Linked DNA regions of Oreochromis niloticus. The main gene of each other region encodes a partner of the protein of the gene in region 2 in a complex. Links are inferred from orthologs where the notes say so. Each region holds a gene or a part of one and is shown on either strand. Other genes may lie near its edges. The genes, in order: naa30 and naa35.

Region 1 (10,347 bases), on a different chromosome or scaffold from region 2:
TGCCTCTTCCTCCCTTCCTCCCTCCCTCCTTCCCTTCACTCCATCACTTCTTCCCTCCCTCCCACCCTCCTCTCCTTTCCTTAGCTCCCAGCCACAGCCAGGGGACCCAGGAGGAATAGTGTCTTTGTCGCCCTGCCGTTTTCCAGAGTTGAGGAACAAGAGGAGTTTAATCCTTATTGTCCAGGAGACTGCAGAGGGTGAAGGGGGGTTCCTCCGGCTGTAAAATGATCCAACCGGCCTCAGCTAATCCCCTCCTAACCCCCACTCCCGGGCCTGACGCCCCTCCCGGCCTTAATTCACCCCCCTATATCTACCACGGTATCGCACCATCAATGCACAGATCCATGCATATAAAACTGGGATTGATTCACTTGAAGGAAAATCAAACAAAAATCGAGTAAATGAGGACAGAATTTATTTTTTAGGGCTTCATCAAGCCCTAAACCAGTGTTGGGATCTTCCCGACCAATGGAGGTGATCTTCACGGGGACACAGCTCCCCCCACACATTTTTGAACATTAATATAGGCAAATTGCAGATTTGTTTGAAATGGCAAGAAGCCCTGTTTCGTGATTAGAACTTTACAACGTGACAAATGTGAATATGCACATGCTGCCAGTGACAGAAAACAAACAAACATCCTGTCAACATTAGCGTGATGAGGAGTGATGTGAGTCGATGCGTCTCACAGTGTGATATACGTGTGCGTGTGGGACGTGTAGGCTGACGAGAAAGAAAACATTTTTATTGTTCCTCTTGTTAACCGAAGGATTATTCGAGATCAGACGGGACAGGGCCGGACATCTAGTTGACGTTAAGTCTTTCTCTAACAAGACGGGTGCTCTCCACTCCGCACAAATCTTCTCCTTTCATTTTTCCTACCTTGCGCAGACACCTCCCTCCCTCCTTCCCTCCCTCCCTCCTTCTTCTCCATCTCTCTCCTGTCCCGTCTTTATTTCTCTTCTGTTTCTCTCTCTCCCCTCCTTTCTTTCCTTTTCTGCACTCCTCCCTGAGTGACAGCTCAATACCCAGCTCTCCCAGGCTTATCTAGCCTCAGCAGATGGTTGACTTGGATCACTGTTCATACGCCACGATCTGGGCTGGTGATAAAGACTGTTACAGAGGGAATATATGCTATCTCTCTCAGGCTTGCTCTTTCTTCCTTTTACTTCTCCTCTTGATCTGCGCTGTCATTCTCCCCCTCTCCATCCAACTCTTTTTAGCTCATTCGCTCTGCGCTCCTTCGATTTCTACCTGGACCCTTCCCACTCGTCTCCTTGTCGTGTCCTCCACCTTTCTCAGCTGTCCTCTTTGTCCCGCTCCCCCTTCAATCCACCCCTCTGTGACTCCTCATCTCTCTCCCATCCCTCAATCTCTGTGCATTGAATCTGGTGCTGCGTGATTGTCTCTGGTTCCCTGCTGGGCTGGCGCCTGTCTAAAGGGCCCCAGGACCCTCACACACTGAGGGGCTCCAGCCATGCCAGAGATCCCTCTCCTCTCGTTTCTCCTCTCTCCTCTCCCTCTTCCTCTCCTTCCCTTTCAAAAAGGTCGAATGGTGTCTTTCTTTTACTTTTGCAATGTGTGAGTTGCATGCAGCATGTGTGAGTTTCAAACAATGTGCCAAAAAGAACAGTTAGTAAACAGGTGAGATCAAAGCGCAGCGGTCTATACTCACATCTACACTGCTGTCTTTATGCGTTTAATTTATGTGATCACTTCACTCGGGCTACTGATGTACACTTCAAAGGCTGCCGCTGCCCATTTTATGTATGCTTCACTTGCTTGGTTTGGTCATTTGATGTCCTCCTCACATATTTTTCTTCTAATTCCACGCAAGCCAAAGGAGCAGGGTATAGCTGGCACTGCTGGGAAAAAAAGGGGTGGGGGTGGGGGCACAGGGTGGCGGGCAGTGATATGAATGAGAACATACAACAGACTGGCGAGGACATCACTTGCACGCGCCATACATTGGACCAACTCTGCGATGAATCCAGGTGTGGCACACGCGTAGAAATGATGCTGAAATTCAAATAAACAAGAATGGTGATGCTGCCGTGGGTACATATGGAGCCTGCCATCCCGTGTGAGGTGGAAAACCTCCCCTCCTTGCGATTTACTAGTGGCTCGCCTGCTCTCCAATACTCCAGACAATTCAAGGCCATCTTAATCTGAACGGTGGAATCTGGCAACCACTCCTGAGCACCTGCATCCGTCCAGCCTGACCCGCTTTTGTTCTGGTCCGACCCCCTAACTTTAGCCCCTAATTAACCCAACAGAAACTAATTAAATACAGCTCTAGTGGACCAGACGCCAGACAAAAAGAGAAGAAAAAAAATAGAAGAAGAAGAAGAAGGAGGACACAGGGAAGTGAGCGGAGTGAGGAGAGCAAGCCAATGTGACAGGCAGGAGCATGAGAGAGGAAGGGAGGAGGAGGGGGTCCAAAGTTTGGCCTCAAGCCCCTGAGAGCGGTTCAGACAGACAGGAAGACAGGCGGAGAGATTTGAAAGAGGAGGGAATTCGGGTTTCAGTGTCAACCCTGAGTTGTCTTTACCGTGTTCTCGCTCTCCGCTGATCTCCATACTGACCTTATGCTTCTTTTACATGCTGTCATTTTTTTTCTCCAGATATTTTGGGTTCTTCCTCATAGATTAGCACGTCTGCCAACTGCTGTAATCACAAGCGCACCAGTCACATGACGCAACTGACACCCTGGAGATATTTGGAATAGGGGAGAGCCACGGAAAGACAAGAGCAACGTGCAATGAAAGCAAGGCAAGGAGGGAAGAAAGGTGGCGGTGGCGGTGGCGGTTGTGGTGGTGGTGCGGGGAGAAGGTGTGGGACAGGCTTGTGAGAAAAAAGATAGGCCTATAAAAATATGGGTTCAAACCAGCCAAATGTCTCTGGCAGAGACGCTGCTGCTCCTCGTCCCAGCCACGGCTCGCCTAAGTGATAGAGAAAGTAATTAAGAGAAGCCTGTTCAAGTAGATAGGCCTGCAAAGGAGATTTGAAGAGGGGAACTGATTGTGCATGTCTGATTCCAGCTCTTCAGAGAGTTCTCAGCCCCAAGGCTTAGCTTTAAAAGAGACGTCTCTCTCTCTCTCCCTCCTATCTCGGCCTCTTTCTCTGTAATGTATATTTATACATAAAATATGACTCCCTTTCAAAACTCACGTATGTTCATGGTAGCTGTGTAGGACAGACAACGACTGAAAGATCAATCTGTGTTAGCATGAAAGAGCAAAGTCAGGCTCTCTAGCATCTGGCGCTCCCACTTAGACCTTTTGTGTCACGGTCTGGTTGTGGTAGACCGACTGGACTCAACTGTGTCTTTGTGAGAAAGCGATCCACTTCAGAGTACCTGGAGCTACAGCTGGAGGGCGCTACAGAGCGATACTGCCAGTTTGAATGGCGGTTTTCAAATCCTTGCCTCGTTTTGGTAAAACTGTCCACAGTTTGAGCAAATATTAGTGGGGCACGTCTTTGTGAACAAAATAAAGAACTTTCATGTGCAGTATAGTTTAAATTGTGTGCTGTGGCCACAGGTGCGAGCCAATCATTTTAATTTTGGAAAACATATTTATGGAAGTTGAGAGGGACAGGAGTAAGGATGCAGAGGAAAGACACCTATATGTCTCTTGTGGAAACTATTTAGTCATCAACACAGAAGCTGAATTTTGATGCGTGAATTAAAGGATTTTTGGAAAGGTACAGCAGGTCACAGTGTTTTTGCTGCAGATTTGAGTTCATTTGAAAAATTCCCCCCACTTAAGAGGAGCATAAATGTTGCAAGAAATCTGCCAGAAAAAACTGAGAAAAAGCTGGAATATCTGTCGAGGTCTACCCTGAGGTAAGGAAGAGACGTAGAGCAAGAAGAAACATCCAAAATGTTGACCGTCTATTACAGAAAAAGCAGGACTTTAAGGAGAAGAAAGCAAACTTTGGTGCTGGCAGGCAAGACAAATATGATGCTGAAGAGCTAAGAGCTATGATACAAGAGCTAAGCAGTACAGTTTTTACAGCTCTTAGAGTGAACTCACCCAAAACCTTTGATTCAAATAAATAAGTCATCACCACCAAAAACGACATTACAAACAAGGGGAGTCAAAAGATATAAATATTTGGTCAGAATGTGTGTGGAGAATAGAAATGCATAATTCAGCTTCTCATTTCCTGAAGTTCTTGTCCTATGAGTTAGGACTTTTTTAGAGCACTGTACTTCTGTTTTAAATATATCAAAGTTAATACTCTGTAATGTCTTGCTGATTTCAAGATCACCTAAATTTGTATGTTTTGTGAGGGGAAAAGCATGTGGTCACACAAAGATGTGCAACACAGTTAACAGGGTATGGGGAGCATCAATACTCAGAAACAGGTACTGCGGTAATAAAACATGGCCTATTGTGTGCAACAGAATACTACAGTAACAACATTTTTCAGAATCACTTGACTTCCTGTCGCTACATTTGAGTTTCAGTGACCTCACACTTTGTGTTCACCCTCACAGTGTAACAGGGGAAGGACCCCTGTGAAGTCTTCTGCGTTGTTGTCTTCTCCTTCCTATGCTGGCACACAATCTCTCTCCTCTCGCTCTCCACAGGCAGGCTGCTGCCTCCTGTAAAATTTTGGTTTTTGGTTGTTTTTTCTGGGGGGATTTCTTGGCACACGATATCACAAACTCTGTTCCAATACTACAAACTCATGACTTAGACTTGTGCACCTGGCAAATTTTATCTGGAGATTATTCCTCTAGTGTGAGCCTAGACTATTTTGATTACAAAGACAAATCTATATAGGTTTTGTAGTTGAGCAGGTGACCCGTATGCCAAAGGCTGCTACTGAGGCTTGCCCCAGACCATTTCATGCATGTCATTCCCTCCACGCTCTCCATGCTTCTCTGCCGGCTCTCTGTACTTTTGTGTCTAATAAAGGTTAGGGAAAAATGAAACCTTAAAAGGAAATAAATGTAACAAAAGTGAAAGACGAATATGAATGTGGTTCTTAGCAGACTAAAGGAAATGGTTAAATGTAAATATAAACAAAAAACAAATGTAATTATTATTATGTATTATTATCATGTTATGTGTAATATGAACAACTGCAGTGTTGTGGTTTTCTTGCTTCGCAGCATCCTGGGAATGATGAATTAACAGCAGCCTACAGTATGCTTCTGGAAAGGAGAGTAGACCATGATTGGATACTACTGGACATACACGCACCAACTTGCACCTACTTTGCAGGATGAAGCGACAAACTGGTCGAATGGCGGCATCTTGTGGAGAAAACGCAGTGTTGTTGTTGCTCTTACAAAACTATTCCATATGCTAAAGCTTCGGTTTGGCGCCCTCTGCTGGTAAGGAAGAATATGTTCTTGGGTTTAACAGGGCAGTACAAGGACTTCTTCAGTCACCTTTGACTTCTCCAGTGTTGCATTACCAGAATGTTGTGAGTACAGTGTGGTAATGCAGGGTACGACACAAACATATATATTATTTAAACTATACAGAACATAAAGGCGAACAGAAGGAGGTAAATGTCAGTATTGACTGGTTAGATAAATTTGACAAACAATATAAAAAGTTTCGCAAGGTGCAAGGATGACCAAAAAACAGCCTCGGGGGGCAGGGGGTAACAGAAGTGGGAAAAACCGTGCAACACTCATGCGTTACACTACTGTCGTAAAACGTGTATGAATGCCGTTGCAATGGCGTTTGCTGCGACGGCACTTTGCGGCAGCAGGGAAATCGAGGAGAAAGCAGCGACAACCATCGCCAGCGGAAACGTTATCGCCCCAGAAAACCCTGGATTTAAGCAATATTCGATGAACTAGCTCGTATATTGGTTGTATATGCCTTCGCCTTGTGGATGAAATTGTGTTCAACGTTTTCCAAGTGTCAATCACCACCTTAATGCAGTGGGATGGCCACAGTGCCGCCTGGGCCTAGTAGCGTACTGCCTGCATCCCCGGCTGAAATTCCTCCTTTCCCCGTGGCTGGGAGCGCGGAGCCGGCGGTGGAAGACGGAGAGCCGGCGTGCCACGGGGAGCAGTGTGTGCCCGCCGGTACAGGGACGAAGTCTCAGTCGGTAAACGAAGTCAAAAGGTCGGTCAAGAAGAAGCAGAAAAACATGCTAGCGCGAGCTAGCCCGTCGGCGCTTCACCTTAAAATGCAAGCCCGAGAGCAGCAGCAGTTGAACGGCTTGGCAAGCCCCTCAGAGGACCCTGACAGCCACCAGCACGTAGGAAGCCGGCCTGACAATCCCAGATCGTCCGTAGACAACTGTGACAACAGTATTGGCAGCAACGAGGAGGCTCCTGCCGCTAGGAACAATAGTGAGCACTGCCAACACGAAGGCCACAGCCCCTGTTCCAAAAACGGCAGTCACTCTCCTCATGGTAACAATAGCGTGAACGGGATGCCGGGTTTCACTACAGCTGAGGCGGCCTGCGAAGCGGGGAAAGAGTTGGACCACACGCCGCCCTCTAGACCTTCGAGTGACGAGCAGCCGGACGCTGCTGGGCCCGGCGGTGAGGAGAGCCAGGCTGACCTGCAGCAGCCGCCGGCCGAGGAGCTCGCCCGGCTCGACTTGAGCGGCTCCCCCGGGGAGAACCACGGCATCCGCTATGTCCGCTATGAGTCCGAACTTCAGATGCCGTGGATCATGAGACTGATCACCAAGGACTTATCTGAGCCTTATTCAATTTACACTTACAGGTACTTCATCCACAACTGGCCGCAGCTCTGCTTTCTGGTAAGTAGTAGATTGAACGCACCGCTCACAGTTATGAAGTCTGACTTCGGACTGGTTACTCTGAGTTGCAGGAGTATTATAGGAGTTGGGTGTGACAGCTTTATTTTTCACCACATGTCACTGTACGTCCAAGGCTGTCAGAGCTGACGTGTACTGAAGCTAAAGCACACACATGTCAATAACATTTCAGCTCATAAGTTTAGTTTCTATTTTACTGCTGGCAGGCAGTAAACAACCTGTCATCTACTGTTACAGATCCAACATTGATTCAGTTTTTTAGGTTATTAATGAATCAAGAAATGTGCCAGCCCACTCATATATGTACAGATTTGTAACGTAAAGCAATTATAAAATCTAATCGTCAGTATTAGCAGAGAGTAATGTGCCTTAGGTTTCCTTCTGCATGTGCTGTGTCATGGTAGCATTTTCTGCTTTGAAAACACTGGCCTGCCTTCTTTTCATTCTGTGGCCATCAAGGTCCAAAACATCCCATTTCCAGTTTTGGCTGGATCACCACATGTGACAGAAGAGGAAGTGCTATTTAAAAAAAAAAAAAAAGATAAAAAGGTCAGAGGTCAGCTTGTGGAGCCAGCTGAACTGGCAGGATGACAGGAACTTCAGAGGAACGGTTGCTAGGCTGTCAGCGGCCACCCCAGTGGACACTCGTAACCACTGAGCGTGTATTTTTTGTTGTGTGTGTGCATTTCAGGCCATGGTGGAGCAGGAGTGTGTCGGAGCCATTGTATGTAAGCTTGACATGCATAAGAAGATGTTTCGTCGAGGTTACATTGCCATGCTGGCCGTGGATTCGAAACACAGAAGGAAAAGCATAGGTGAGATCTCGGCGCTCCTCTTCAGAATATTCAGTCTCTCCCTTCACCGTCTTCTCTGCTGTCCCGGGCAACCAAATCTCTTTATGCAAATGCACCATTTAGATAGACTCTGCACTCAGAGTGATGAGTAATGTTATACTTTAATATATTGGAGATGGAGGCCATAAATGGGTTTAGCCTCTTACTTAGAGTCCACTCTTTTGTTTCAGGTACTAATCTGGTGAAAAAGGCCATCTATGCCATGGTGGAGGGCGACTGCGACGAGGTAAGCGAGCTAGACCCAGTGGCATTGTTTATGAACCAAACTTTAACACATTTGCACACATTACATAAGAGCCGTTATTCAAGCCAGAGTGCCAGCGTATTCAGTCGTACTGTGAAAATATGCATCCTACATAAAATCAATAGTATAAACACATGTTACACTGTTGGCATTCCCTTCTTTGTTGTAGATTTCTGAAAGGAACACAAACTGAAAGAGAGAACATTTATAGCTGTTTAAAGCCGTTTTTATTTCAAGGTCCAGTTTTCCTGGGCTGTCCTTCACTTATCTAAACTAGCTGGTAACCTTGATCTTCTACCATAAACTATTTCATATGCTCTGCCTCTCCCTGAAAAGCCAAACATTCATGCTGCTTCCTTTGCAGACTTTGAATTCTTCTAGAAGATGAAACATGTGATACAGCGTTACGATTTCTTCAGTCTCTTTGCTGGTTGAGACCAAAGAGCTGACACTCTGATACAACCCAGCAATATCCAGTGCTTTGAATGTGTACACACAAACGGTACATGTTTTTATAGGATATGTTTTTACTTATTTTAAAAAAGAAAAAGAACAAGTAACTGCAAGCAAATGTGTGGGTGGGTCTTCAGTGTCCTGTGCTCGTGCTTTCTATCCAAATATCTTCTCTTATAAAAGCAGTGACTTGCAATAGCAACTTAAATATTGCACTTACAGCTTGTTAGCTACCAAGATATGACACACAAGTAAGGTAGGTTTAGAGTTTGAGTATTTATTTGTCACAGTTGCAGTTGAAGGTTTCTAAGGTGAGGAAACGCTGTCACTATATACTGTACAAGTGCCTATCGATGTCTAAAGTGTTTGCTGTCCCCTGAAAATATTTCAACTGTTAATTTCATTTCATTTGTATAACGTTAAATCACAGCAAGAGTCACCTCAGAGACCCCGCGATAATACAGAAAATGCCCCAACAGCCTCTTATGAGCAAGCACTTGGTGACAATGGGAAGGAAAAACTCCCCTTTAACGGGAAGAAACCCTAACTATATGCTTTATCAAGAAGGAAATCTTAAACTTAAAAGTAGAGACTGTCTCCTGAATCCAAATTGGGAGCTGTTTTCACAGAAGAGGGGCTGAGAGTTGAAGGCTCTGCCTCCCATTCTACTCTTAAATATCCTAGGAACCACAAGTAAGCCTGGAGTCGGAGAGCGAAGTCTTTAAGATAAGATGGGGGCTGATTTTCAAGACCTTGTTTGTGAGGAGATGTATTTTAAATTAAATTCTGGATTTAACAGGGGTCCTATAAAGAGAAGCCAATATGGGAGAAATACGCTCTTTGCAATGTTTATAGGAGTCTTATCCTGTGGATTTGCTGGACCTCCACTGTCTTGCACTGGGCTGTTGCTCAAATTAGTAGCAGATGTACCAGCTTTTCATCTGTTCTGGCTAGAGTGGCTTATATTGAGGACCACCACAGCGGTGACTGATCAGCCCTCCTGTCTAGAAAAGGCCTGGAGCTAGCAGGTTAGGAGCAAGGGAGTGAGGTTTGTTTAACGCAAATTAGTCTCGAATGGCTGAAAAAATGGGTCCAAGTAAAGGCAGTGTATGCTGACAAAGAGGGGAAATATTATGTTGATCCCATGACGGCAAACGAGTTCATTTTCAGTATTGTTAACTTTTTTTTAATTCTTCAGGTAAAGAGTTCCAGTCCAAACAATCAGGAACGACCAAATAGCAAATACACGCTCCAAAATTCAGTCTGCTCACTCACGCACTCATTTGTGTGTTCCCAGGTTGTATTGGAGACTGAGATCACCAACAAATCAGCCCTGAAGCTCTACGAAAACTTGGGTTTCGTCAGAGACAAGCGGCTCTTCAGATACTACCTGAATGGAGTGGACGCGCTGCGGCTCAAACTGTGGCTCCGCTAGCGGAAAACAGAAGGGACGGGAGGAGGACGGGACAGCAGGTGCTGTTCACCTCGAACACTTATCAGCTTGACGGCCTCAGCTCTGCCCTGGTCATTTCACTCTTATAGTCACACATACAGACACCTACACACACACACTTACACATATTCCTGTGTCCAAGGAGTATGCACATAAGTATGCATAAAACAAGCAGACACACCCTCCTTTTATCCTTGACCTCTGAACAAGCGTTTAGGCAGAAATGGACTGAAATCCCATCAGGTGTTACACGACGGGGGGTCTCCCGCTGCCTTCTGTGACGAGGGCGGGGCGAGTGAGGGTGACCTCATTGACTGGGGGACATTGTGACCTTGGAAGCTCGGGGGCGCCTCTTCAACCAGGTGTGAGGCAGCTCAGGTGAGGATGTGCATCCAGACTCCCCCACCCCCTACAAGAAAATAACAAAACAAAAAGGACAAGGCACCACACCAAAATCCTGCAGAACCCGGGACAAAGCAGACTTAAAAAACACAAGGAAAAAAACTTTAAAAAAAAAATCATCACCACATGAAACAAGGAAGTGGAGCGGTAAACACAGACTGGGAAGATATTTGTGG
Region 2 (10,520 bases):
AACTTTCCTCTGTAATTCATCTTCTACATCTTTCAGCATACCTGAAAGGATTAATACGTCATGAGAGATGAATGATTACAGTGTCTGCCTGTAATTGCTTTAGCTGTCTACACTGTAGTTGATGCTGCAGACTAAAGCCCAATCCCAATGTGTACACACGGGTTCATAAACTTGGATGTGTGTTTATGCTAAAACCACGAGGGCCTACTGTCAAAGTATCAAGTGTTCTTTGGCAGAGATTTTTAAACCTTGTTGCACGCCTACATCTGCAGATGCTGCCTGAGGGCATTACCCACAAAGAGTCCCAAACACACAATCCTAGGCCTCGAACTGACTTACTCAACGTCTGCTCCTGTGCACTCGAATGGTATCATTTAGGTTGTTAAGAGTTTCATTTTTATGCTTTAGGTTGGAGATTGACATTGAGCCTTAATCAGTTATGAGTGGAAGTCTTCATACCTGTCACCCGCAGATCTGTGACATTATTAGCCATCTTAAAGCCATAGGTCATGGCCTGGAAATCCTCCTGCATAAAGACATATAAGATAAAACCATTCAGACATATGGCAGTTTTAGAAATGGGCTACTACGAGAACAACTTTTCAAACAAATAGGTTTAAACAAAACACATTTGCAATCAAACTAAAGCTCTTTGGGTCTGGAAATCTTCACTGAGCTCCATCTTTCAGATATCTCAATTTTTACACACAACTTACTCACAGCTTTTTCTTTCCCACCTGGGTTTTTTTGTGTTGGTCCATGATTTTAACCTGCTACCATTTCTGACTTTATGTCCACATTGAAACGTGCAGTACCACAGTACCCAAACATTTACTGACTGACAGCAGAAAACTGCTCACCTCTTCAAACACAGCAGCCTTGTTGACCTTTTCCCGGGAAATGTCACACACCTTCAACAAGCCCAGGGCAAAAGCTTTGAGGGCTGGCTCCTCAATCAAGTCAGGGTTGTGAACATAGAGGCAGGTAAACACAGTCTGGGCCAGGGAGTGTCCCTCCAACCATGTTATCTACATATACACACATATTAGAAAACACAAACATGCATACATAAATATGTCTTGATCAGTGAGTCCGCAGTTTGAGTCATCGCTGGCCCGATCTGTATCAGTAATCTCTTTGCCAACACTTATTGTGTTTCTCAAATTTTACAATCTACTAAAGACAAAAATGCCATAAAAACGTTAAAACGGCTACAAATACAGATTATAGATTAAGCTAATACTACTGCAGTAAACATTTTCCAATCCAGTCACATTTCAGAAAATCTGCAGTACAAAGGAATTACAGGGGGCAGCACATTACTTGAACATAACTTTCAAAATTTTGCCTTATAATAACCAAAAGCGAACTCACCAAACAGCAGAAACAGGTGTCGATGATCCCGATGAGTTCGGGAAGACTGAGGTCTTTGACCTTGATGGCACCCTCCTGGAACAAAGAAAGAGGAAAATAAGGTGGTTAAATGTGTGTTATATACACAAACAAATTAAACTAAGATCTGAAAAATTAAATCTAGGATTACATTACATCTCTGTCTGTATACTGTTTTTATTACATGAAAAAGAGATCAGTACCTTAATAGCTTGCTCAAAATTGAGCACTTTCCTGTTGACCTGGTTTCCGATCATTCCCGCATCCATCTTAGGATCCATCATCTCTATAGCTGACATGGCTTCAAACAAGCCAAACCTGCAGCAGAAGTAAAACATTTTTGACCTCTGTAACATTTTTTCTGTGTTCACTACATGAAAACATAAAAACACTGACAATATTTATGGATCGATCCAAAAATGAATGCAAATATCAACCCAATTAAATTCAAAGTCACTTGTGGCAAAAACATTAGAAGCTTTCATTATAATTACTCTGGACAGTCAATGCTTTGAACTATGACTTTGGGACATGAAAACTTTTTTAAATTGAGGATCTGTCCAGCAGTAAGATGAAAAGGTCGTTTCTAATTTGAGGGACTCTTGAAAATGTGAATCCACAAAAAAGCACTTTGGTGTACTCACAGCTTGTCATGAAGCAACTCTCCAAGGTTCAAATCTGCATGAATAAAGGATGACAACAAGGAAGGAGAAACACGTCAGTCCCTTTTTTTAACTGCACACAGATGACACACACACACACACACACACACACACACACACACACACACACACACACACACACACACACACACACACACACACAGAGTCCTTACCTTTGCAGGCGCTTTTGAATTCATGTGTAATATCAACCCAGTTGGCGTTGTTCTTCATCTTTTCTGGGATACCCAGCCCCCAGCCAGTGTCATCATCATCAACTGCTGATTTCATCACCATGGTGACAGCTTAAGACACATAGATAAACATTACATTAAATTAACCATAGCATGCCAATGTAAAGCATTTTGCTAAGTCATCCATCCAATCGCCTAGCCAACTTAAAAGTTCAGGGAGGCAGTGAGGGGGCCAGCAGCCTCTGTGTCTCTGTGTTAGCATCACAGCGCTAACACCGAGATCCAAACAACCATAAACTCTACTTGCACAACTACAATTAATGCCAGTTTAGAATCAGCAACTAACATACGGTTTGTGGGAGGACACCAAGGCACCCAGAGGAACCCCACAAAGACACATGGCGGATATGAAAAAAAAAACCTCACATAAAGCTTTAAATCTGCAATATCTCCACATTTTTTCCTTCCTTTACTGAAAAGAAAGATTTTTTGTCCTATATAAAAACATTTTTTTTATTTATTTATTATTTTAATAACAGATATAGCCATGCTTGTACCTGATGAATTCTAGCTCAAAGTTAGTACTAGGTCCTTGTTATAATTAGCTCAGCTAATGGCATAAGAGTTACACTTGATTAAGAGGTTTCTTATCTTATTAGGTTTTTTGTTTACTAGAAAAAAGAAAGCTTTCAGTCTTTCCTTGCTGAAGTGAAATCCTATTTTCCTCAGGTCATAGGCTAACAAATTCTAATTCTTGAGACAATGTAGGTTCAATATCCTTAGGATTAGTGGGGTTAGGTTAACTGGTGTTTGGTGTTTAGTGTGATTGTGAGTGTGAATGGCTGTCCGTCTCTCTGTGTTAACCCTGCGACAGACTGGTGAGCTGTCCAGGGTGTACTCTGCCTCTTACCCTATGGGTAGCTGGGATAGCTTCCAGCCCCCCACAACCATGATAAGGAGGAGAAGCAAATGGATCAATGGATCTTTAGGATGTGTTTCCACTAACTACATGAGCAGAATCATCCACATAAAGGATTCAGATTCATACACAGCCTGAGGCATGTCATTAATATAGATGGAAAAAAGTAATGAACCTAAAAGAGATCCTGTCATACCATAAATAACATTTCCAAGGGGTGACCTTTAAGAATCATTATTTAATTCTACATAATATTTTCTTTCCAATAAAAATCTTGAACCACCACAGATATTTACATACATTCCCTGTGTGGATCCAAAGTAAATTAAAACTTGTTTTAAAGTCATTAAATATGTACACTGTACAATCATTCCACAGTGGAAAAGGAAAAGTCATCAAAAGCCCAAAATCACCATGACATTCATGCCCATAACAAGTGTATGTAAACTTCTGACCAAAACTATATTGGCTCTATATCTGCTTGTAGAGTAGAATAATCTACAGTATCAAAAGACTTCTGAAGGTAGTGTATATTATACTGTATATTAAATATAATTTTATTACTGAGCTATGAAAGGTTAGTATGCGTAAAGTACTCTGGCCTAATAATAAAAAACATAAACATTTAAAACTTCAGCATGCAGTTTAACAGTTGTAACACAGCTCAAAGTTAACGTACAGTAAGAAAGTGAATGTGATCCAATGTAATAATATAATTCACTGATCAGTCAGTCAATCTTCTGAGCATTAAAACCGCAATCCATTATTGTTTTTAAACTGGAAATGTGTCAATTTCTGTATGTTCTTAAAAGCTTTTACGCATTTTTGTTTACATTAGCCTCGACTCATTGAAGTTTGACGAGGCTGACCTAAGCTAACAACAGAGGATTAACATGCGAGCTGACTTGAGAAGCTTGTTATAGCCTAAAATGGTGTAAACTGCACTCCAGAGTGCCCTGGAAAGTCTCAGCCGTCTACACTAAGAAACTGATGTGGGTCAGGGAGAGTTGAAACCATTTTTAAATGACTGATTCATTCACATGTAACATATATAACGTTTAGAGTACGTATAAGAGGCAACACGGGTAATCATTTGTATAGATGTTTCATAAAAGCCTATCAGAAATCGATATTACCTGATCAAATGCCCGTAAAATGATCAATGGGATAAGTAGTAACTGTTTGTCTCCTAACATATACCTTTTTGAAACTAATAACATGGATGTCAAAAAGTCACCTAAGTTTACACAGTTCTCAAAAGCGTACTAAAACTCTTAGGCAAGATACATAATTTTAAAAGACACGAGATGGTGTGAGTTAGCTATCACCAATCGTCACATTAGCTAGCTTTACGGTGTGCAAACAAGCTAATGTTGCCGACAGTGGGTGTTCTCTGTGAACAAAAGCTGCTTATGGATGTTTTAACAGATTAATCCATTCCACTCAGGCATATAAAACACGAAGACTGTTACTTAGAAATTATACTTTCGCTGTAAATCAGCACGTACCTTACTATATTGTATTAACCATGTAGCTAATCAAAGCTCCCCCCGAAGACTGTAAAGATTGGCGCACATGAATGACGTCATCAGCAGCAGCGATAGGAAATGTAGTCCTGTGAACGCCAAGCCTAACGGAACGCTTATGACTTAAAATCAGACCAGTGATGATATAAAACGATTTTTGAGAAGTTTTAAGGATTTAGTGAGCTAATTTATGATGTTCACATCGTAGCATTAAATGCCGCTTACACCACGCGCAAAGACGTAACCACTGTCGCGGTGCTCACTAACTGCCCCCTCTAGTTGTGTCTGTTCCATCTCATCATCATCATCAGGGCGTTTCAGGCAACGCTCAGGAGCACAGTAGCTGTCGCCTCTTATCCCGCAACTAGTCCTCCACCCTAAACGGGACAACAGTTCCTTTTTCATACAGGTTTGTACATCATCTCTTTTGTGCTGCTATTCTAAAGAACCACTGCTTCAGCTAACATCTACTGTGTGCTGTTTTTGTTAGCATATTCTTCAGTTAGCTAGCCTGCTGGCGCAGACAGCGAGTCGTTAATGAGTGACTAGCCCAGCAGGTGCAGCGGCCACCAGCTTCAGCTAGGTTGTCTGACTTAGCATCTCGTAAACATGTACCGTACAGAGGCTTGCCTAGCTGTTTACCTTTTCACCAATAACCCGCTAACAGTGACAACCCCCGTGAGCTGGTGCAATGAGAGGAATGACCCTGGTTTCTTAAAGGATTTTGGATCGGGGATTGTGAAGTAGCTCTATAGGGTTATTTCGACTTGTTTACAACCGTCTTGTGTAAGCTGACCTCTATAACATGTCAGATTTCATAACTGCTTGAGCAAATTTTAAACGTGTATATGGTCTGACCTCCAGTTTCATCTTTACTCTTCTTTAGCCCGTTTGTAACAAAGGCGTGACCATAGATTGTGCTGTCACTCTTAGATTAGGCTCTATCCTTTTGGTAAAACGGGTGATGGGCCTGTAAGCTTTGCAAAATTCTCGTTAAGAAGTAAAGGTGTTTTTTTACTTTTTCACCTTCAATTCTAAAGTAATGAAGTATTTTAATGTGGACACATTATAACCTTATTACAAAACTCCCTTGTGTTTAAAAATAATGGAGTAAATGTCATTAGGCACCAGTGATGACCCCGCACTAACACATGTTTACGACCCATCTTATCTCAGCCCATAAATGCTTCTGTTTTGAAACTGCAGCAGACTAACTCGTCCAGTCTTCTTGGATTCACCTGCTCATCCGTTTCGGTTAATGGTACCGCACTTAGTTGACTTGTTTATTGTGCTTTCAAACCTTGTGCTCACATTACCTTGACTGCGACTGTTTTGTGTGGATATCTGAGATGAGTTGAACAGCTCCTTTTGTTTTGTGTGAAATCAGTTGATAGGTAATGTGTCCCCCAGGTGGTCCCAGCATGCACTGCTGGGCAGATACACAGAGGACAGGTTTTTAGTCTGCTGTGGAGCTGCTGCATATTTGCAGACTAATGGCTTCTCTGCTCATTGTGTCCCCTAAGTTGACAGCTTCTTGTCTGTGGGGTGACCTCACAAGGCATGCGTACACTGTAGCCAGGGACACTTAACTTTTCTGTGAAATGGTTTGGCATAGTAGCAAGCCTGGCTGCAACAGAGGGAGTCGAGTGGGGTAAAGGTTAACAAACATGATTGTTTCTAAAATTGTGTTGAATACCTCTTCCTCTTCATATCTAATCTACATGTTCTTTCACTTGCAGATGACTTGAAATGTTGATGTAGTAAAAATGAACAAGCCCAAAATGGCCACAGAGAAGGGGTGAGTTGATTTGCATTCAGAAAGCAAATAAAAATGTCATTACAGATGTGAACACAAACAGGCATGGGGGTTGTGATGTTTGTGCATGTGTTTCTGATTGAAGGCTGCTGTGTCACTGCCATCTGTTTGCACTCACACTCTCGCGCCCTCTCTCTCTGTCTCAGTGAGCCTTTAGTGTTATGATGCACTTCCACTTTTGTTCTGTTTTACCTTGTTAAGACCTTTTGCAGAAGGGTTTGACCCTGCTTTTCTTCTTGTGCAACAGAGCAGAGTCTGGTAGATAATTAGCGGATCTTGCTTGAAACAGCCATTCAATATGTCAAGACTGAAAATAACAGCTGTCCTTAACGCTGAGGCAATATACTTTGAAAAACCTTTGGTGTATTTTGGCTTTCCAAGATCTTTTTTTGTGTGTGTGTCTGTGTTCATCATAGTGATTAATGTAGTATGTTTATTTAGGCTTTCTATTTTTTGTTCTGTTTTTTCCTTTTTCTGTTAATACACTATTCTTCCCTCACTCCTGACATTTTTTGCTATTCTTTATTTAGCATACACTTTCTCTGTCTCTCTCTTTTCTTCTCTCTCTGTCTTTATAAGGACATATAAGACATTTTTGCTCCCCTGGGTAGAATCAGGGTCTTGATTCTCTGTCCAGTATTTGCCGTTGCTGTACCAACAACGGACCTCTAACCTCGAGTTTCCAGCTGAGTGCTACTGAGCTAGGATTATAAGAGGAGGACGGATCAGTGCTCCAGAAATGAAGTGAAACACAAAGAGACAGCTTTGTTGAAAAGCTCTAATAAATGAAGTTTAAAGTCATATAGTCATAGACTGCCAATTTGTAATCACCGGCACTGCTAAAAGTAACATGGAAAAGGCTGTTTTTATTGGATGCTTTCTAAAATTGGGCTAAGACACACTTGACTCAGTGTAAGTATATGATGTCACTGCACATATTAGATCATGCTTTACATTTGTTTTCCGTTGCCAACTGCACATTGTGATTAATAACATTAGCCTTTTCACATAATTGAGGGCACAGTTGATCATCTTGTGTGTGTGTTTTTTTTTTTTTTTTTTTTTTTTAAACATACAGCTGAATTATCCTGTTGGATGCAATGTTCTAAAAGTAAAAACTGATTTTATTTGTTACAAGGGTTCCTAGTAACTCCAGGATAGTGATGCTCCTGGGCCAACTGGAAAGGATGAATGGTGAGGCCATGGTCAGAGATGTTGAAACAGCAAGACAGGTCACTGCAAAGATCCTTCATCTCATACAGACACAGGGTAAGAATGTGTGCAAACATGCACAGTGATACATGTAATCTCCTGAACTCCGGTATAGTTTTGTTATCTTGAGCCAAGTGCAATCTCAGTGAGCAGTCCTGGCCTTGAATTGCATTGCTGGCAGTGGAAACGGCTGCAAAATATTCAGGCATTGTAATAAGTTATAAAACAGCAGTTCCTTGCAATTTGCAAAGTGATTCGTTTGGATTATGTAAGCAAGTATTCGACATTATCGATTAGAGGTTTTTGATCACCTCCATATTTTTGCTACAAATGTTCCCTTGGACTCGAGATAAGCTGCTTAGAATTAGGAGGTCAAAGGTTCCTGTGAAATCACTTTTTTTAAACTCTAAAAAAAAGTGCACTAATTATGACAAGAGTTTTACAAAATGTTTAATGCCATAGAAGCATGATGTGATGCCATTATATAGCTGAATGGGTCAAAGGTTTGCGTCACTGTTGTGTAATAATTTTTTGCAAAAACATTTTTCGGGCCATTAATCAAGGTCACAGCTGAGGAGTGGTCACATTTGGTCATATGCTTAACCATGACAGAAACTTTGGTTCTGTCCATACATCCATTTTCTGCTTCTTATTTGGCTCTGGGTCATGAGGGCACCGGTCTGAGCAGAGAAGCCCACACATCTTTCTCCACCTGTCCTCTCCAGTTCCTCCAGGTTCCTCCTCAAGTTGTTCCCAAGCCTGATAAGAGATGTAATTTCCCTCATTGTGTCTTGGGTCCTCCTGGTAGGACATGTGTAGGACGCATCCTGGTGAGATACCTGAACCACATCAACTACCTCCTTTCAAAGTGCTGGAGTAGCTGCTGTGCTCTGAGCCCATCCCTTTCCTCACCTTATCTCTATGGCTGAGCCCAGACATTCTACAGACGTTTATCATTGGTAGATCAGCTGTATTTACCACAACAGACCCATTCAACATCTACCCCACTGCTGATGCTGCACCAACCTGTTTGTTTCTCACTTGTGAAGATCAAGAGATATTTAAATTCCTCCAATTGTTGCAGAAACACCTCCCTGTAATCATCTGGAAGATCTTCAGTATATCTGTTGGACATGTATGAACGTGTACAGACAAGTACATGTCTGTAAACTGCATCTTTAGTTGTTGGAATAGTCACACAACCACAAAGTAGTATATTTAGTTCCAGGATCCAAGTCTTGCTAATAGGCAGTTGTTTGTGCAACTGTTTTAAAGCTCGTGTTTAAAATGAATGAGGATACAGCCCTAACCTTTATTTTAATGGTCATGTATGTATAGACTCACCAGTCATAACTGATAAAATCATTTCTTTCAATTCTCGAAAAAGTTTGGCCTCAAATATGAAGTTTAAACAGCATTTAAAATGTATTTATATTTATTTATAATGTGCATGCACCCACATTCATAAGATTAACAGCTTAATTGAAGGTGCTAAGTGTCTCTGGCTGATCCCACAAAATGAGCCCGATGCCACAGCACAATATGACTACAGTTAGCTGAGAAATCTTTATTACAATAACCATGGACTGGAATGATAATGAGTAGATATGCCTAATGTGTCAGAGGGTGTAGTTTTAGAGTTTGTACAGATGGAGGGTTTGCAGCAAAATTATTAAGTTATCAGCAGAAGCTGGGCACCTGTTGGAATTGTTTGGATTTAATCTTAAGACTTAATTGGTTTCTGTTGGTTCTTGCTGTAAATCAGTCAGTTTTTGAGCATTTAATTTCTATTAAATGTACATAATTTTTTAAGTTTGTACCATTCGAAGTCTTTCACTGGACCTATAATGACCAAGTGGAACTACCTTGACTACCTTGTTTTAAGACTTAAAGGCAAAGATCTATGTGAAAGCTTTAAAGAAACTCTTATTTGTATTTCAGTCAAATGCAGCAGAATCAGAGGTATTGTCCATTTATTAAGTACATTTCTTCCTCTCAAACCCATCTCTGTACATTTCACAAATGCCTTGATGCCTAGCTTCAGCTTGTGGAGAAAATTCCCAAATTCGTAGAAAACTTAAAGTGTGGTTGTTGTGTAAATTGAGATGTAGTAGTTCGTTGACAGTCAAGATGTGTCACCCAATCTCTGATTACTCCTTGAAAGGAAAACCGAGACGAAGATAACGGAAGAAGGTGGCACACCAGGTGTTGAACACACTGATACATGAGTGCGTCTCTGTTAGCAAGGAGCTAATTAAAAAAACAAAAAACAGACAGCATTGTTCTGCTGCTGTAACAATTAAAAATTAAAGGACTTGCTATATTAACAAACTCACAGAGGCTTTTGATCCTGTGTTTACAACATTTAGCATTTGAAACTCGTACTTCAAACCTTTCCAAAGATAAAGTTATAAACCTTTAAAAAAATCAATCTTCAAATAAATGCTCTCTTGCAAAAAATCAATTTTTACAAGATTTTTGTTTGTTTTTACTTATAATAACATAATAATAACAGTAGTAGTAGTAGTAGTAGTAGTAGTAGTAGTAGTAGTAGTAGTATTAATAATACTACTACTAATAATAATAATTATAATAAACTAATGTTGCCCTGTAGCACACAGTTTTAAGTTACTGGTTCTCAGTGCTTGTCAGTCCCCTCCTCCTTTGAGAAATTCTGCTGAATCATGATATGATATGATTCCCAACTACTTCTTCTCTCTTACTTTTCTTAAATTTCACCTTTCCACGTTCCATAACTTGTTGCTTCCTCCTCCTTCAAAGCAAAGTCCTAGCTAATCCATC

What was found.
Region 1: the proteins of naa35 (region 2) and naa30 are in contact, whole or in part, in a cryo-EM structure (PDB 7MX2), measured with the Homo sapiens proteins. The link is inferred for Oreochromis niloticus from reciprocal best matches to the Homo sapiens genes NAA35 and NAA30. Residues at the interface, in NP_001308810.1 of Homo sapiens: Leu45, Gly46, Leu48, Leu56, Ala59, Met60, Ala62, Glu64, Lys69, Glu121, Phe313, Pro314, Arg315, Ala444, Leu510, Glu511, Leu512, Glu517, Pro605, Lys606, Phe607, Glu608, Leu609, Asp610, Val614, Arg615, His618, Arg619; in NP_001011713.2 of Homo sapiens: Glu221, Pro238, Ser240, Tyr242, Thr243, Arg245, Tyr246, His249, Asn250, Lys304, Ile324, Glu334, Asn335, Leu336, Gly337, Val339, Arg340, Asp341, Lys342, Arg343, Phe345, Arg346, Tyr347, Tyr348, Leu349, Leu359, Trp360, Leu361, Arg362.

Annotation. Positions count from the first base shown.
Region 1 is NC_031980.2:4,759,835-4,770,181, reverse strand, and holds the start of naa30 (N-alpha-acetyltransferase 30), read left to right. Parts: upstream 1-5,511; 5' UTR 5,512-5,916; coding exon 5,917-6,747; intron 6,748-7,456; coding exon 7,457-7,580; intron 7,581-7,789; coding exon 7,790-7,845; intron 7,846-8,227; exon of another isoform or gene 8,228-8,365; intron 8,366-9,613; coding exon 9,614-9,751; 3' UTR 9,752-10,347. UniProt on the Homo sapiens protein: Catalytic subunit of the N-terminal acetyltransferase C (NatC) complex. Catalyzes acetylation of the N-terminal methionine residues of peptides beginning with Met-Leu-Ala and Met-Leu-Gly.
Region 2 is NC_031977.2:20,758,834-20,769,353, forward strand, and holds the start of naa35 (N-alpha-acetyltransferase 35, NatC auxiliary subunit), read right to left. Parts: upstream 4,809-10,520; 5' UTR 4,673-4,808; intron 2,357-4,672; 5' UTR 2,349-2,356; coding exon 2,228-2,348; intron 2,071-2,227; coding exon 2,037-2,070; intron 1,711-2,036; coding exon 1,596-1,710; intron 1,450-1,595; coding exon 1,375-1,449; intron 1,029-1,374; coding exon 861-1,028; intron 527-860; coding exon 460-526; intron 42-459; coding exon 1-41. Other genes in the region: agtpbp1 (cytosolic carboxypeptidase 1), read left to right, coding at 6,457-6,488, 7,645-7,775. UniProt on the Homo sapiens protein: Auxillary component of the N-terminal acetyltransferase C (NatC) complex which catalyzes acetylation of N-terminal methionine residues. N-terminal acetylation protects proteins from ubiquitination and degradation by the N-end rule pathway.